3 linked regions of the Sus scrofa genome follow. The protein of the gene in region 1 binds, or shares a complex with, the protein of each later gene. Links are inferred from orthologs where the notes say so. Each region holds a gene or a part of one and is shown in the gene's direction. Other genes may lie near its edges.

What was found. The genes of interacting proteins can lie anywhere in the genome.
Region 2: POLE3 (region 1) and POLE4 share a complex: the UniProt entries of both Homo sapiens proteins name them as parts of the DNA polymerase epsilon complex. The link is inferred for Sus scrofa from reciprocal best matches to the Homo sapiens genes POLE3 and POLE4.
Region 3: POLE3 (region 1) and CHRAC1 share a complex: the UniProt entries of both Homo sapiens proteins name them as parts of the CHRAC ISWI chromatin remodeling complex. The link is inferred for Sus scrofa from reciprocal best matches to the Homo sapiens genes POLE3 and CHRAC1.

What each region holds. Positions count from the first base shown.
Region 1 is NC_010443.5:254,032,944-254,037,764, reverse strand, and holds POLE3 (DNA polymerase epsilon subunit 3), read left to right. Parts: upstream 1-1,540; 5' UTR 1,541-1,860; coding exon 1,861-1,926; intron 1,927-2,026; coding exon 2,027-2,112; intron 2,113-2,471; coding exon 2,472-2,590; intron 2,591-2,860; coding exon 2,861-3,033; 3' UTR 3,034-4,387; downstream 4,388-4,821. UniProt on the Homo sapiens protein: Accessory component of the DNA polymerase epsilon complex. Participates in DNA repair and in chromosomal DNA replication.
Region 2 is NC_010445.4:68,114,201-68,119,061, reverse strand, and holds the start of POLE4 (DNA polymerase epsilon subunit 4), read left to right. Parts: upstream 1-1,753; 5' UTR 1,754-1,809; coding exon 1,810-2,028; intron 2,029-2,628; coding exon 2,629-2,713; intron 2,714-3,378; coding exon 3,379-3,420; intron 3,421-4,861. UniProt on the Homo sapiens protein: Accessory component of the DNA polymerase epsilon complex. Participates in DNA repair and in chromosomal DNA replication.
Region 3 is NC_010446.5:3,025,701-3,030,208, reverse strand, and holds the start of CHRAC1 (chromatin accessibility complex protein 1), read left to right. Parts: upstream 1-1,400; 5' UTR 1,401-1,502; coding exon 1,503-1,649; intron 1,650-1,987; exon of another isoform or gene 1,988-2,140; intron 2,141-2,929; coding exon 2,930-3,056; intron 3,057-3,624; coding exon 3,625-3,743; 3' UTR 3,744-4,508. UniProt on the Homo sapiens protein: Forms a complex with DNA polymerase epsilon subunit POLE3 and binds naked DNA, which is then incorporated into chromatin, aided by the nucleosome remodeling activity of ISWI/SNF2H and ACF1.

The sequences.
Region 1 (4,821 bases):
GTTGCTGTGGCTCTGGCGTAGGCCGGTGGCTACAGCTCCGATTCAACCCCTAGCCTGGGAACCTCCATATGCCGCGGGAGCGGCCCAAGAAATAGCAACAACAACAACAACAAAAAGACAAAAGACAAAAAAAAAAAAAAAAGAAATGTTTAGACAATCACTACCACCTATCTGCAATAAACTTTTAAGTGTCTATTTCCTCTTTCTTTTACTCAACACATTTATTGACCACCAAATATGGGAAGGGACCTGTTATGGGCATAGAGAACAATAATGACCAAAAAAAGTCCCAGTTCTAAAGAGTTTATAATATAAGCCAAAGATAGCAAACTACTGGCCTGGGATTGCACCTGGCATATAACTTGTTTTGTATGGCCTGCACTTTGAGCCATTATTTAAAGATGGAAATAGCCCATAATGTTCAGATTTCTGGGTTCTCTCAAAGGGGGGTCCAATTCCAACTAGACAGCCACTGGCTGGAGCTGTGTACCTCCTGACATCTTTAAACCATGTGTATTCTAGTCAAGTGGAGCCCTCCCCCACCAAACCCCATATTCTCTAAGAGAAGAGTTTCAGTTGCCATTTATCACTGCATTTGCTGTTGTTTTTCTCATAATAGGGAAATAGTTCTCTGTACTCATGTTTCTATCAAAAACAGGAAAACTAAGCATGACCTGAGGCAGCAGGTTTCAAGGAAAACAACTGTTCAGTGGGAGTGAGGAGAGTTTCTACTACGTAATATGAAAATGATACAACTTAAAAAGCCAATGCAGTATTTCTCTTGTGGCGCAGAGTGTTAAGGGTACCTCCCACCTGAGTCACTGCTGTGGTGCAGGTTCCATCCCTGGCCTGAGAACTTCCATATGCAGTGGTCGCCCCACCGCTCCCTCGGGGGGGGGGGGGGGGACCATTGTAAAACCATGCTGATGCTTTTGACTAGGAAAGATGAACGATGATCAAGTCAATGAACTAAAACATAAATACAAGTTTAACAGGGTTTGTTTTTGAATGCGAATGTTATTCTTAAAACCGGCTGCTTATGGACCTTTTGTTACCTGACCAGCTCGAAGTGAACCCCAAGGTCTAATCATGCCCATCTTTTTGTTGCCAGCCCTACACTGTACTGACAAAGTAGTCTGCATTAAAAATTTTAGGTTAACACTTATCCTTAATACCATTATTACAAAGTTGAGAGCGGTGAAAAGATTTAAGAGGGGATATCAGGGCCTGGAGAGTTCAATAAAGATTCCCTGCTTCCAGAAGAGGGAAGTGGGAGAATCCGGCCAAGGAGGGCCGCGCTTCCGCGGAGCCAAAGCAGAGGCCAAGCGGCTAGGAAGCCGAAGCCTACAAGGAAGACGCTGCTCCTCAACCCGCGGTGAAGACAGCAGCGGGGCCAAGCGCCAGGTCCCGCCTCTCTTCCGAAGGGACCCGCCCCGCCGGCTCAGTCCACGCCTTCGTCTCCCAAGCCAGCCTCCGACAGCACCGTTGCCAGGCAGCGGCGCAGAGCACTATGGGAAAGGGACGGAAGCCCCAGAAGGCCATACTTAATTTGCTAAGCAAGTTCCAGACGAGGTGGTGGCGTGAAGCAGGGAAGCGAGCTTGGGAAGGGGCGCCAGGTGCCGTTGTGGCCTGATAGAAACCCCTAGGGCTAAAACTAGCGGCGTGGAAAGTTCAGATGAACAGACGACTGCAGTCGGAGGCGGGGCTGGGGGAGGAGGGAGGATATGGCGCGCGGGGCACTGTGGGACACGGTGTGGGCAAAACGGGGCGGAACGGAAGCCTCGTTGGGTCAGACGGTGGCGACGCGGGAAGTCCGGACGCTGTAGCGGCCTGAAGAGGAGGCCGGCTCCGGCCGTGGCAATGGCGGAGAGGCCCGAGGACCTAAACCTGCCCAATGCCGTCATCACCAGGATCATCAAGGAGGCGGTGAGCATCTCCGGCTGGCGGATGGGCCAGGGGCGGACGAGCAGGCAAGGGTAAAGAGGTCCTGGGGCAGTAGCTTTGCTCACCCCCTCTCTTGTCACAGCTCCCGGAAGGTGTCAACATCTCCAAGGAGGCCCGGAGCGCCATCTCCCGCGCCGCCAGCGTCTTCGTGTTGTACGCCACATCCTGGTGAGGCGGGCAGAGCTAACCAGAGCTTAGCTGGGGGCTGAGGCTTAAGGGAGACGCAGACACCCCCCCCACCCCTGGTTCGGAGTTCGCGGCCTAGAACCCGCAAACCCCAATAATTATGATCTTCCCCAGTGGAGGGAGGTTCAGAGTCTTCATCCAGGTATTGCAAGCTGTGGAACAAAATAAAACAGAGTAACTTTGCCTTACCCTTTTGTACAGGGAAGGGAGGGACTTACTGTGTCACCAAAATCCATGTATCTTAGACTTGGGCATTTCCATTCCACCTCTGGGTCGTCCTTTTCCCACTCACTGCATACGGGCCAAGAAGGATTCTGACAGCCCTTAATCTTCTTGTTCAGCGCCAACAACTTCGCGATGAAAGGGAAACGCAAGACGCTGAATGCCAGCGATGTTCTCTCAGCCATGGAGGAGATGGAGTTTCAGCGGTTCGTTACTCCCTTAAAAGAAGCTCTGGAAGGTAACGACCTCTTCGTTTACTCAACCAAGTAGATGTTCATCCTGTATGACCTGCTCACTTGGCCCTAAGTCTTCATTAGCTTGAGTCCCTTTAGGTCCAGTAAGCAAGTATTGGGTGAGATTCAAATGGCACTACCTCATATCAGTTTTGTGATGCTGGGCAGGTTATTTTTCCTTCTGTGCCTCAGTGTTTCCAGTTATGCAGTGGTATTAGTGGCTGCAGTCTGTTTGGTTCAGCCTTGTCTCCCAACTCCCTCCTTCATCCTTACAGCTTATAGAAGGGAGCAGAAAGGTAAGAAGGAAGCTTCAGAGCAAAAGAAGAAGGACAAAGACAAAAAAACAGATTCAGAAGAGCAAGACAAGAGCAGGGATGAGGACAACGACGAAGATGAGGAAAGGCTGGAGGAAGAAGAACAGAATGAAGAGGAGGACGTGGACAACTGAAGAGGATGGGGAGACTGGCGCCTTGGAAGGTACAGCTCTGAAACGTTTGTGTGCAGCTTTTTCCTGCTGGACAGAGTAGTCTTGGGCAGAAGAGCCTGAGAAGATGGAAGTAAAAACTGATTAAAATTATCATCAAAACCAGCGTGTCCCAGATTCAGAGCATCTGAGTAGCAGAATCTTGTTTTGCTTCATGAGCCTGAAGGTTATGACTTTTTGGCAGGAGGGATTATGAACAGCCAATTGGTCACTGGGAGCATTTTTGTTTACTTACGTACATAGTTAGGCAGTTGTTGATCCCCAGGTCCCACCCATTCACCCACGGCTCAAAAAAGTAACAAAGCTTCCATGCCACCTACTGCGTTCCAAATCACAGAAGCAGTCAAGACTCAGGAAAACCTGGGGCTTTGCTTATAGACAGCCTATTTGTACAGTATTTGGCAATACTAGCTTCTTACAAGTGATCAGAATGACTTAGCTTTAGGAAACCACTAAAGGGTGTAGAACAGTGAAATCTGTTCTTTTGTCTCTTCACTTGACAGTAACATTAACTGAATTTTGGTTTTTACAGACCCACTTGGCTTAGAGCCCTTCTCTATTGCCAGTAGGCATGTAACCCGCTTGGGTGGCTACCTTCTGGGCACCAAATGCATTTACATCAGCAGTGTAGAGTAGAATTAGTCAAGCAAGATTGCCAATGTGTCTTACAACAGATGGTGTAGTCTTGAATGCACCTCACTGCCTGCCATTGTACAGCTTTAGGGTATGTGGTCACCTCCTGGAAGGTATAAAACTCCAGGCTTTCTCTTGTAGTCCCGCTCCCGGATTTGTGGTATGGCTTTTCATTCTTCTAATTCCTGATGAATTCCAAACTTTCTTTCTTCTAGGTACAACGTTCTTGCTCTGTGCTTCTCTCCTGTCTCTGTTCTGCCTCTCCTCTGCTCCCCATTCCCACTTTCTGTCCCTCCTTTTTTCACTTCTGCCAGGAACTTTGATGACCTGCTTAATATCTCAAACTATGGGTTCCTCTGATTCCCTAGTTCTAATCTCATGTCTTTTAAAAATGATTTTGTAGACCTCTCTGAACGTTAAGGGAAATCCGATGGTGCTCAGGAATCCAATTCCTCCCCCAAGCCATCCCTTCTAAAGTATCTCTGTTAACCTTATTTTCTTTCCATTTGGCGCTTCAAGCACTTTTTGTCTCTAAGTTGAGTGCTTGGAGGTTGACAGGTAGTGAAATATAGTTTGATGCTGTTCATTTGTTAAACGAATCCAGTGAAAAGTTTGTCAAGAAATGAGTGAAGGATATTGAGAAAATTATAATGCCTTGTATAAATAAAAAACATTCTTGTAAAAAGTGACGTCTCCTATTTCATCCTACTTGTTTATAAGTGTGCTTTTGGGGAGGACCCACTGATCATGCGCTGCAGTTTTTAGAGTGTAGACGAGGACAGACCCTTATAAATATGAGGTCCTGGAGTTCCCGTTGTGGTTCAGTGGTTAACCATGAGGTTGCAGGTTCAATCCCTGGTGTCGATCAGTGGGTTAAGGATCCAGCATTGCCGTGAGTTATGGTGTAGGTTGAAGACACGGCTCGGATCCCTTGTTACTGTGGCTCTGGCACAGGCCAGCAGCTACAGCTCTGATTTAGACCCCTAGCCTGGGAACCCCCATGTGCCATGCATGCAGCCCTAGAAAAGACAGAAAAGACCAAAAAAAAAAAGAGGTCCTGCATCATTGGATGACTGACCAGCAGATGCTGCTTGTTAACAGGCAAGGGTGCTGCTCTTC
Region 2 (4,861 bases), on another chromosome or scaffold:
CAGAGCTCAGCTCTTGCCGTTAACTTTCCCCTTGAGGTGTCAAAAGAAGCAAGTCCCAATTTACGCAGCCCAACAAGTCCCTGCTCTTCTTAGCCCAGGGGGCCATCCACCTCCTATCTCAGACTGAAGATAAGGTGTGATGTGTTTGGGGAATACTGTAACTGAGCAGGACCCCGTGACGCCTTCCCAGAGTGGACCCCCACTCGTGCCCTCCACCTGCTTTTTTATCTACAGAGAAACTTTAGTCAAAGAATCAATTTAATCAGAGAAAGAAAATACAGAGAAAAAGGACAACAGTCAAGCAAGACAGAATAATAGTTTAGCCATTCAACAAAGTCAAAGACCTTTTAATGAATTGTCCTGCAAGGACTATAGATAATATTCTGAGCCATGTCCTTGGAGCTGTTTTGCAGGTGCTGAAGCCCCTACCAGGTGGAAGACTTCGACTGTATGCAGCCCACAAGAATATAGACCCCAGTCTGGTTGGAACCAGAAGGTTAATGACACTGACTCTTAATTATCTCACCACCCACTCATCAAGAAAATGCCCAGGAGCTGATCACGCCCTGCTCCTCAAACACTGTAAGACTCCTCACTACACCCTCCAAGGGAGTACAGGGGGGTCACAGTCCTTGAGTCACTAGCCTGCTGTGTTCCCTCTTTGACTGGCAATTAAAGCTACTTTCTCTGTTTCCTCCAACTCTACACCTTTCTGTTTGGCATTGTGTACAGAGGCAGCTGATATTTCCGGCAACAGTAAGGAGAAGGTGTCCAATAATCACCTTGGTGAGTAGGCAAGTAAGCAGAGCACGGTGACTGCTGGCTGCCTTGATTCTCACTTGAGACTAATGTCAAGACTCCTCTCCAATAAGAGCTTGGTGGGATGGGTGCTTTCTCATGTTCCTTCCGTCCTTGGGCTTTCCACACCAGCCCTGGGAGCCTATGTGTGATTCCTCTATTTTTTAGACTTCTCCTTACTCACTCATAGTCAATCCTGTTAGAGTAACTTTTTTTTTTTTTTTTTGTCTTTATGGGGCCGCACCTGTGGCATATGGAGGTTCCCAGGCTGGGGGTGGAATCAGAGCTATAGCCGCTGACCTACACCAGAGTCACAGCAACACCAGATCTGAGCCGTGTCTGCGACCCACACCACAGCTCATGGCAACGCTGGATCCTTAACTCACTGAGCAAGGCCAGGGATTGAACCTGTGTGTCCTCATGGGTGCTAGTCAGGTTTGTTTCTGCTGTGCCACGACGGGAACTCTTATAGTTTAACTTTTATGTTAAACTTTCTATTCAAATTACTTTCCCTGTTCAAACTCTGTGTAGTTTCCTTTTCCTAATTGGACTGTGATGCAGATGAGGTTTCGTCATGGGAAAGAGGGAAGAATTGTTGAAGCGATGCCCATCATTTACTTCTTTCCCCGCCTACATTTTTATTTCTCCTACTTTACTGTCTCCTCCAGGAGCATATACATTTGTCCAAGTTTCTCCTATATATTTCTATTACTGCTGTTTACTTTTACAATCAAGTTCTCAAAAGAGAGCTCAACTAGGTAGGACATCGCGTGAGATGCAAAGCAAACTGCAAAATCGGACCACCAGACCTCAGAAGCGCTGTGAGGGATAGAAAAGATTAAACGCCAGCCCTCCGCCTCTCTCACGGGATACTCCGCCACGCTGGCCGGTTGGGGGGGGGGCGGAGTCACGAGCCATCAGGGGGCGTGGCTGCCAGTGCGCGCGGGAAAGGGGCCGGCACCGCCTGCGCGCGCACAGTCGGCGGCCGCGCGCAGCACGCCCGGGGCCCGGATGGCGGCCGCGGTGGCGGCGGCAGCTGGAAGTGGGCCTGCCCGGGAAGAGGACAGCTCAGCTGGGGAGGCGGCGGCCCCGCAGCCCCAAGCCCCGACAAGTACGCCTGGGGCTCGTCTCTCGAGGCTACCTCTGGCGCGAGTGAAGGCCTTGGTGAAGGCGGACCCCGACGTGACGCTCGCGGGACAGGAAGCCATCTTCATCCTGGCACGAGCCGCGGTGCGGCGGGGAGCGCCTGGGTCACCTAGTGGGGCGGGGCGGGGCCTCGGGGGCCTTTCGGAAGGGCGGAGCTTAGCTGTATTTGGGGCCAAATTTGAGATGTGAGCGTGGGCAGTAAGAAGGCCATCTGGGGCAGGTTGTGCTGAGGCCCGAGAGGTTAGAGGGGTGCTGGGGCCGGATACTGAGTTGTGAGTATCGGGAGGGAAGACAGAGAAAGGGTCACATGCAGTACTTGTATTGGTTTCGTAGGACCTACCTCTTCCGCGACTTTGATTTGTGTCTCTAGTCTAACTTTATAACTTGTTTCAAGTAAGTGAGTGGGGTGAATCTTCAGAGTGAGGGAGGGACAGACGTGTCTGGACTACAGCAGGAGAGGGGAGGGGAATAGACTTTTATGAAGTCCAGGAGAAATTTCAGCTTCCCTGAGAACCTCCCCGTGCATCTGTGCCCTCTTCCACCCTTGGCCCCCACTCAAACAGGAACAAGCATTTGCACTAGAACTCGTGGATACAACTTTGCTTATTTTCTTTTTTCTTTTCTTTTAATTTTGGTTTGTTTATTACAATTTTTACTTTTTTCCCCTTCTGCTTTTCTTAATAGGAACTGTTTGTGGAGACCATTGCAAAGGATGCCTACTGCTGTGCTCAACAGGGAAAGAGGAAAACCCTTCAGAGGAGAGATTTGGGTAGACTGTCACTTTGGTGTCTTGCATCTGTGGGTACACAAGGGAGGGCTGGGCGAGACTCTCCTTACACTAGTTGAGAAGGCATCACTTTAAGATGAGGGACACCACAGGTCTCTTCCTATGATGTTTTCTGTTGAACTGTCACTGTGCCAGAAGATCGTGCCTCTCGAATGTCTGTTTTGGTTGGCTGGAGTGGTGTTGGGACAGAGAACCAAAAGGAGCCTGGATGTTGCCAAAGCTAACTAGACCCCTTTATTCCTTCTGCTATATTGTACCAGGCTTGTCGTTTTTTTTTTTTTTTTTTTTCCACCTAGAAAGGATAGGTTTGATTTCTGACTCTACTTTTTTCTACTCTAGAATGTGTGTAAATTTTCGTATACCACAATCTCACTTTCCTTGCTCTATAGCCAGACTCTCTTCTCTGATGACTTTCAGAGGAAAGAGGTTCCCCCCAGGGAACAGTATTTACCTAGGCTGTAGAGAGACAGCTGATACGTAGTATTTGGTGGTGGAGAAGATGTAGATCTCAAGATAGCAAGGGACAAATTTTATAAATGCTTATTTGCATAAAGCCTCAGGCCCTTCATTGTGTGTGTTGTGCTCTTGTAAGAGGTTTGATGCCTGTGTCCACAGTTAATCAGGTGTCCCTTTACCTTGTGTTTCAGATAATGCAATAGAAGCTGTGGACGAATTTGCTTTCCTGGAAGGTGAGTTCTCTATCAGGGGGTAGTCCTTTCCACTTGCCTTCTTTCCTTCCTCCTTCCTTCCCTCCTTAATCTCCTTCCCTCTTTATCCCCTTCCCTTCTTTCCTTCCTTTCTTCTTCTTCTTCTTCTTTTCTTTTTTTTAATGGCCACAGCCATGGCATATGGAAGGGATATGGGATTGAATCCAAGCCTCAGCTGTGACCTGCACTGCAGCTGCAGCAAAGCAGGATGCTTTAACCCACTACACCAGACCCAGGGATCTAACCAGCACCTGGGCAGCAACCAGAGCTGATGCAGATTCGTAACTCACTCTGCCACAGCAGGAACGCCTCCACTTGTCTTTCTCATGCTAAAATCTGAGTTCAAAACCTTATGAAATTGATGCCTGGTTCTTCCTTGTTCATGTAGGAGTAATTCTATTTCCTGTTAAGATAGGAAACACAAATTACAATTCAAATTCCTTTGGGTAATTAGAACTTTATGAAAACTGCTAACCATGAACAGTGGGAGGGACTGGAAAGACCCCAGTGGAGTTGGGGGATTTTCAGAAGTTTGTTTCTGACTTTGAGCCCCATCTCTAGATATAAATCTTACCCCTTATCATAATGCTAGAGATCAGAAACAATTGCCAACGTTTAAAGGGTTACCTCTTGTTCTTTTTTCTTCTTCAACAATCTCTCTAAAGTGATGATTTTGCCGCAGTGAGATTCTCTACTGGCCTGTATCTGTTTGTTCTTAAGAATCTTGGATTAACTCATGTGTACTAATTAAATCTTGTCATTGAAATAGAAAATATCTGAAATACCTCATTTTAACTCTCTTTACCTAGAGCTCTCTTCCTGCTGCCCCTAAATCTGATCAGTTTACTCTTCCCTGCATATAGATTGATTGAATAGTTTTGGAAAAGCCATGTACCTTTAGTTTCTCACTTTTAACGACCAGGGTTCTGTTTACCTCCTCAAAGCCTTAATACCTTCACATATCTTTTCTTGAATTTTTTTTTTTAAAGGCTGCACCTGAGGCATATGGAAGTTGCTGGGCTAGGAGTCAAATTAGAGCTGCAGCTGCCCTCGTATGCCACAACCACAGCAACACTGGATCTGAGCTGTGACTGGGACCTACACCACAGCTCACCACAATTGCCAGATCCTTAACCCACTGAGCAAGGCCAGGGACTGAAGCTGCATCCTTGTGGATACTAGTCAGGTTCTTAACCTGCTGAGCCACAGCAGGAACTCATCTTTCCTTGAAGTATTTATTTCACTATTTTTACTCCTTGGTTCTGCATCTATAATCAACTGAGGTCTCTGGCCCTTTTGAGATATTCTTTTAAATGCCTTTTAAGGTACATTCCCATGGTTAGCATTAAGCTTAGATTATTGATTATTCTCTTAATTTGTAGATTTTCTTTTTAAAGCCTCTTTTATGCTTAACTAATTTTTT
Region 3 (4,508 bases), on another chromosome or scaffold:
TCTGCTCCTCCTGCAGTCTCCATCTCAGCAAACAGCACCACGGTTCTTTCACTCTTACTCCATAACACACTGGCAAGCCCTGCTGGCTCTATCGTCAAATTAGATCCCCTATCACCGCTTCCACTCGGGTCTGACTCACTGTCTCTCTCCATCCCCGGAACCGCTTCCTAACTGTGCTCTCTGCCTGCTTCCGCTCCTGCCCCTGGACGATCTATTCACACACAGCAACTTGAGGATTCCTTGTAAAACTGAAGGGGGACCCCCTTACTCCCCCCAACCCTTTTGGAAGGAATTCTGTGATCTACAAAGCCCTATCTCATCTGGCCCATGGCTACTTCCTATCATCCGTTCCCTAGCTCACTTCACCCCAGCCACACCTGCATCCCATTTCATCACCTGCCATCACCTTCTACTCTGCAATTTCTTTGCTTCCACCCTTTCAACCTCCCCATCCTCACCACTCCCCTCCGGTCTATTCTCCATCAATAGCCAGGGGGATTTTTAATAAAATTTAAGACGGGAGGTCCCGACGCGGCTCAGCTGAAACGAATCTGACTAGCACCCAAAAGGACGCGGGTTCCAGCCCTGGCCTGGCTCAGTGAGTTAAGGATCCCATGTTGCTGTGGTGCAGGCCGGCAGCTACAGCTCCGATTTGACCCCTAGCCTGGGAACTTCCATATGCCCCAGGTGAGGTCCTAAAAAGACAAACAAAAGCCCCCCCCCAACTTAAGAGACATATCCCCTCATCCCTCTGATCTCTTTCAGCACTTCCCATTTTCCTTATTATTATTTTGTTTTTTAGGGCCACACCCGCGGGGCGTATGGAGGTTCCCAAGCTAGGGGTCCAATCGGAACCGTAGCCGCCAGCCTACACCACAGCCACAGCAATGCAGGATCCGAGCCGCGTCTGCGACCTACACCACAGCTCACGGCAACGCCGGGTCCTTAACCGAGTGAGGCCAGGGATTAAACCCTCAACCTCCCGGTTCCTAGTCGGATTTGCTTCCGCTGCGCCACGACGGGAACCCCCATTTTCCTTCTTCTACAATCCAATAGGACCCGGCCCCAGGCCGCCTCTCCGCCTTCATCCCGCACACCCCGGGCGCAGAGCGCGCCTCCCGAGCTTTCCGGAAAGGCTCCTCCCTCCGCGCCGTTGCTGCTGCTCCTCTTCCCAGCAAAGCGCCTTCTCATCAACAGGGCCGTCCGCGCTCCTCACTGCCCAGCCCCCTCCCTTCCCCCCGCGGTTCCCAGTCCTCTCCTGCCTACACGGTATCTGCCTCGACCTTCAGGGAGACGCCTCCCCGGCCCCCGCCCCCGGCCCAGCCGCCCTTCCTTCCGCCTCGTCCGCGCGCGGCATCACGGGGCTTGTAGTCCGCGCCCGGGGCCGCGCCTCCCGACACTACAACTCCCACGGGGCAGCGGGACGCCGCTCCCGCACCAACCGAGCGGGCCGGCCACCTCGCGGCGGGTCGGGGCTGCCGCCGCGGGGGCGGGGCGCAGAGATGGCGGACGGGGTCGCGGGCAAGGACAAGTGCGGGGAGCCTCGGCTGGTGTCGCTGCCCCTGTCCCGCATCCGGGTCATCATGAAGAGCTCCCCCGAGGTGTCCAGCATCAACCAGGAGGCGCTGGTGCTCACGGCCAAGGCCACGGTGAGGCGGACCGCGCGGGGAGGAGTGAGAAGCGGAGGGCGACAGTGGGGGCCGCCCGGGACCGTTGCGTCCCGCCCCGCCCTCCGAGCCCGGCCGAGTCCCGCCGCGCTGCCCAGTACCCCTCGGCCCGCGCGCCGCCCGCTCCCCTGCGCGCGCCCGCGCGCTCTCCTGGGCGCGGCCTCGCTGCCTTCCGCCGCGCGCTCCCCAGCTCCCGCGCGCCCTTCGCCCCGCCCCCGGGCGTCAATCCCGTCTTACCCCGCGCGCCCTCGCCCCGCCCACTCCGTTCCCGGCCTCCCCCGCGCGCCCAGCGCCCCGCCCACCCCCCCTCCTTCGGCGTCTCCTCCTCCCGAGTTGTCGGCCCCCAACCCCAATCCCTCCCCTCTTGTCGCTTCCGGCCGCTTCCGCTTTCGTGGCTTTGGGCTCCACCCCTCGGACGGTTGAGCGAACGGGCCCGCGCCTTCCTCCCAGTCTTCGGGGCCGCACGTCCCCAGGTCAGAATTAGCCTTTCCAGGGCCGTGGTTTTACAGCCGGAGGTGCTAGCCCCTCCCCGGTCTTTTGATTTGGCGCGTGGTGGGCGTTCTTGCCCAGGGCCAGGTTTCAGCTGCACGGTTTCCCTCGCTTTCACGTTCCCTAGAGTGGCTTCCGGCCCCTGCTGGTTGCGCCCAGTGTCCGGTGTCCCTACGGTCAGGGTGAGGGCGGTGGGAGGTCACGTGGTCTTGGGATAGTTGTGCTTTCGGGTCCAGCTTCGTTCTGTAGGTGTTAAGGAATTGAGGAGTTTCGCAAGCACTTCTTCCATCCCTTACTAACGGAACTAGGTGGATTTAAAATAGAAATTCCCAGAGGCTCAGCCCAGGGCTCAGTCTGGGCAGAAAGGGAAGCTGATCGTTTTTTTACCTTTAGGTTGTTGACCGTAACGGTTGTAGGCGGACAGCCTGGAAACACTGTGTTCAAACGGAAGTGTGTTCCTCAGCCACACCGAATTTTTGAATGGTCTCTTGCCCTTTTTAACTCCAGAGGTTCGTCATTAAATATGACTCATTGTTGAATCACTTTTGATTATTTTTCATAAGTTATAAATCTAAAGTAAACTTTAGGGAGACGCCTGCTTCCCTGACAACTTAATTCAGCCTTTGTTTCCTTTCTGACCGCGTAGTCCTTTCTCGCGTGATTTTCTGTAATTTGGGAAACCGAGATAATCTGCAGTCATCGAAATGAGTGTAATTAAAAATGAAGGTCTGTAAGTTTTCAAAGCACACCTTTCGTTTTTCATTTTGTTTTAGGAACTCTTTGTTCAGTATCTAGCCACCTATTCCTACCGACATGGCAGTGGAAGAGAAAAGAAAGCTCTCACTTACAGTGATTTATCAAACACTGCAGAAGAGTCGGAAACTTTTCAGTTTCTTGCAGGTATTTAGACTTTCAAACATTCTGCTTAAAAAAAATGCTTAGCAATTTACGCTTTTTTCTCTGCTCTTTTTTCTTCTTGCGCTGAAATAGACACTTGGCTGTTTTCTCTAGGTGCCAGAGTTTCCCACGACCTGGCATGAGTCTTAGTTTTGGCCGTTTGAGTATGTTTGTAATGTGATTCACCTGGACCAAGAAGCCAGCACTCTCCCTACAGGGTGTTTGTTGGCTGGGGCGTGGCAGCCCTTCCCTGACGCCTCCTTAATTGGTCCAGGAAACAGAAACTCAGAGTTGTTGTGCAGCAGTAGCTGTGGGTCACAGCTAACAAGAGCTCACGGGGATCCTTGGGGCAGCCACCCTGTGCGGGCTGGGTTGAGCCGTGGGCACCAGCACCCAGAAGCACGCGGTTTGCTTCAGTGGAAGGGAGGCAGGTTTGCAGGGCTAGTTTCCTGCTGTTTACCCAGAATTGTCGTCTGAACTTTGTTTTGTCTTGGAACCTGTTTAGAGGTCAAAGCAGGAACTGGGACATTTTGAAATTTACATTACTGATGCTAGCTTTATGTTTTTTAAGACATATTACCAAAGAAGATTTTAGCTAGTAAATATCTGAAAATGCTTAAAGAGAAGAGGGGAGAAGAGGAGGAGAATGACGACGACGACGATGAGAGTGATGATGAAGCGGAATCCTAAGCCAAAAAGAAATGCGTTAGTGACCGGCCGGGGAGCACGGCTCCGGGATGAACACCTTTGCTCTGAGCAAGCGTCTGCTCACTCTCGAGACACCCCAGGGACACCACGTTCCTTCCTGGCTGAGATGGGGCGTGAGGTGCCTCTGCTGTAAATAGCCCAAAGCAGAGCGTCTCTTTCCCAGGCCCACGCTGCAACCGGAGTGGGGGTCCAAACAAGGGGCTTCGAGCTGGGGTCACAGCCAGTCTGCAGCTCTAAGCCGTTGAGGCCAAGGCAGCTTTGCTTAGCTTTGTAGCTTACAGATAGATTTTGAAGAACTTCTAAATATCAGTTGTATAAATTCACATGTGTATATTTTGAAATTAGTTTTTGTAAACAGCCAGATCCGGTTTTAGCTAAAATACGTGGTCTATGGGTAGTATGTTACATCTGAATTTTTGTATTTCAAGAAAATTTGTTTGGCATTGTATTTGTTCAAATATTGCATTTTTTTAAACTGTAAAGAAATAACTTTTTAAATTAAAAGCTAGACTTTTTACAGTAAAGTGTTTTATGGAACTAGTTTTATTAAAACCCTTTATTATTCTAATGCCTTGGTTATTCTGAGACATTTGTGAAATATAAAAATAAGCACTTTCTCTTACATTTATTCCTGAAGAAAAATTTTAAGCGAAATTATTAAGTCAGATACAATAAGAAATAGTACTTCTGCATAGTGTATTTTTCTTTCCTTTTTTTTTTTTTTTTTGTCATTTTAGGGCCACACCT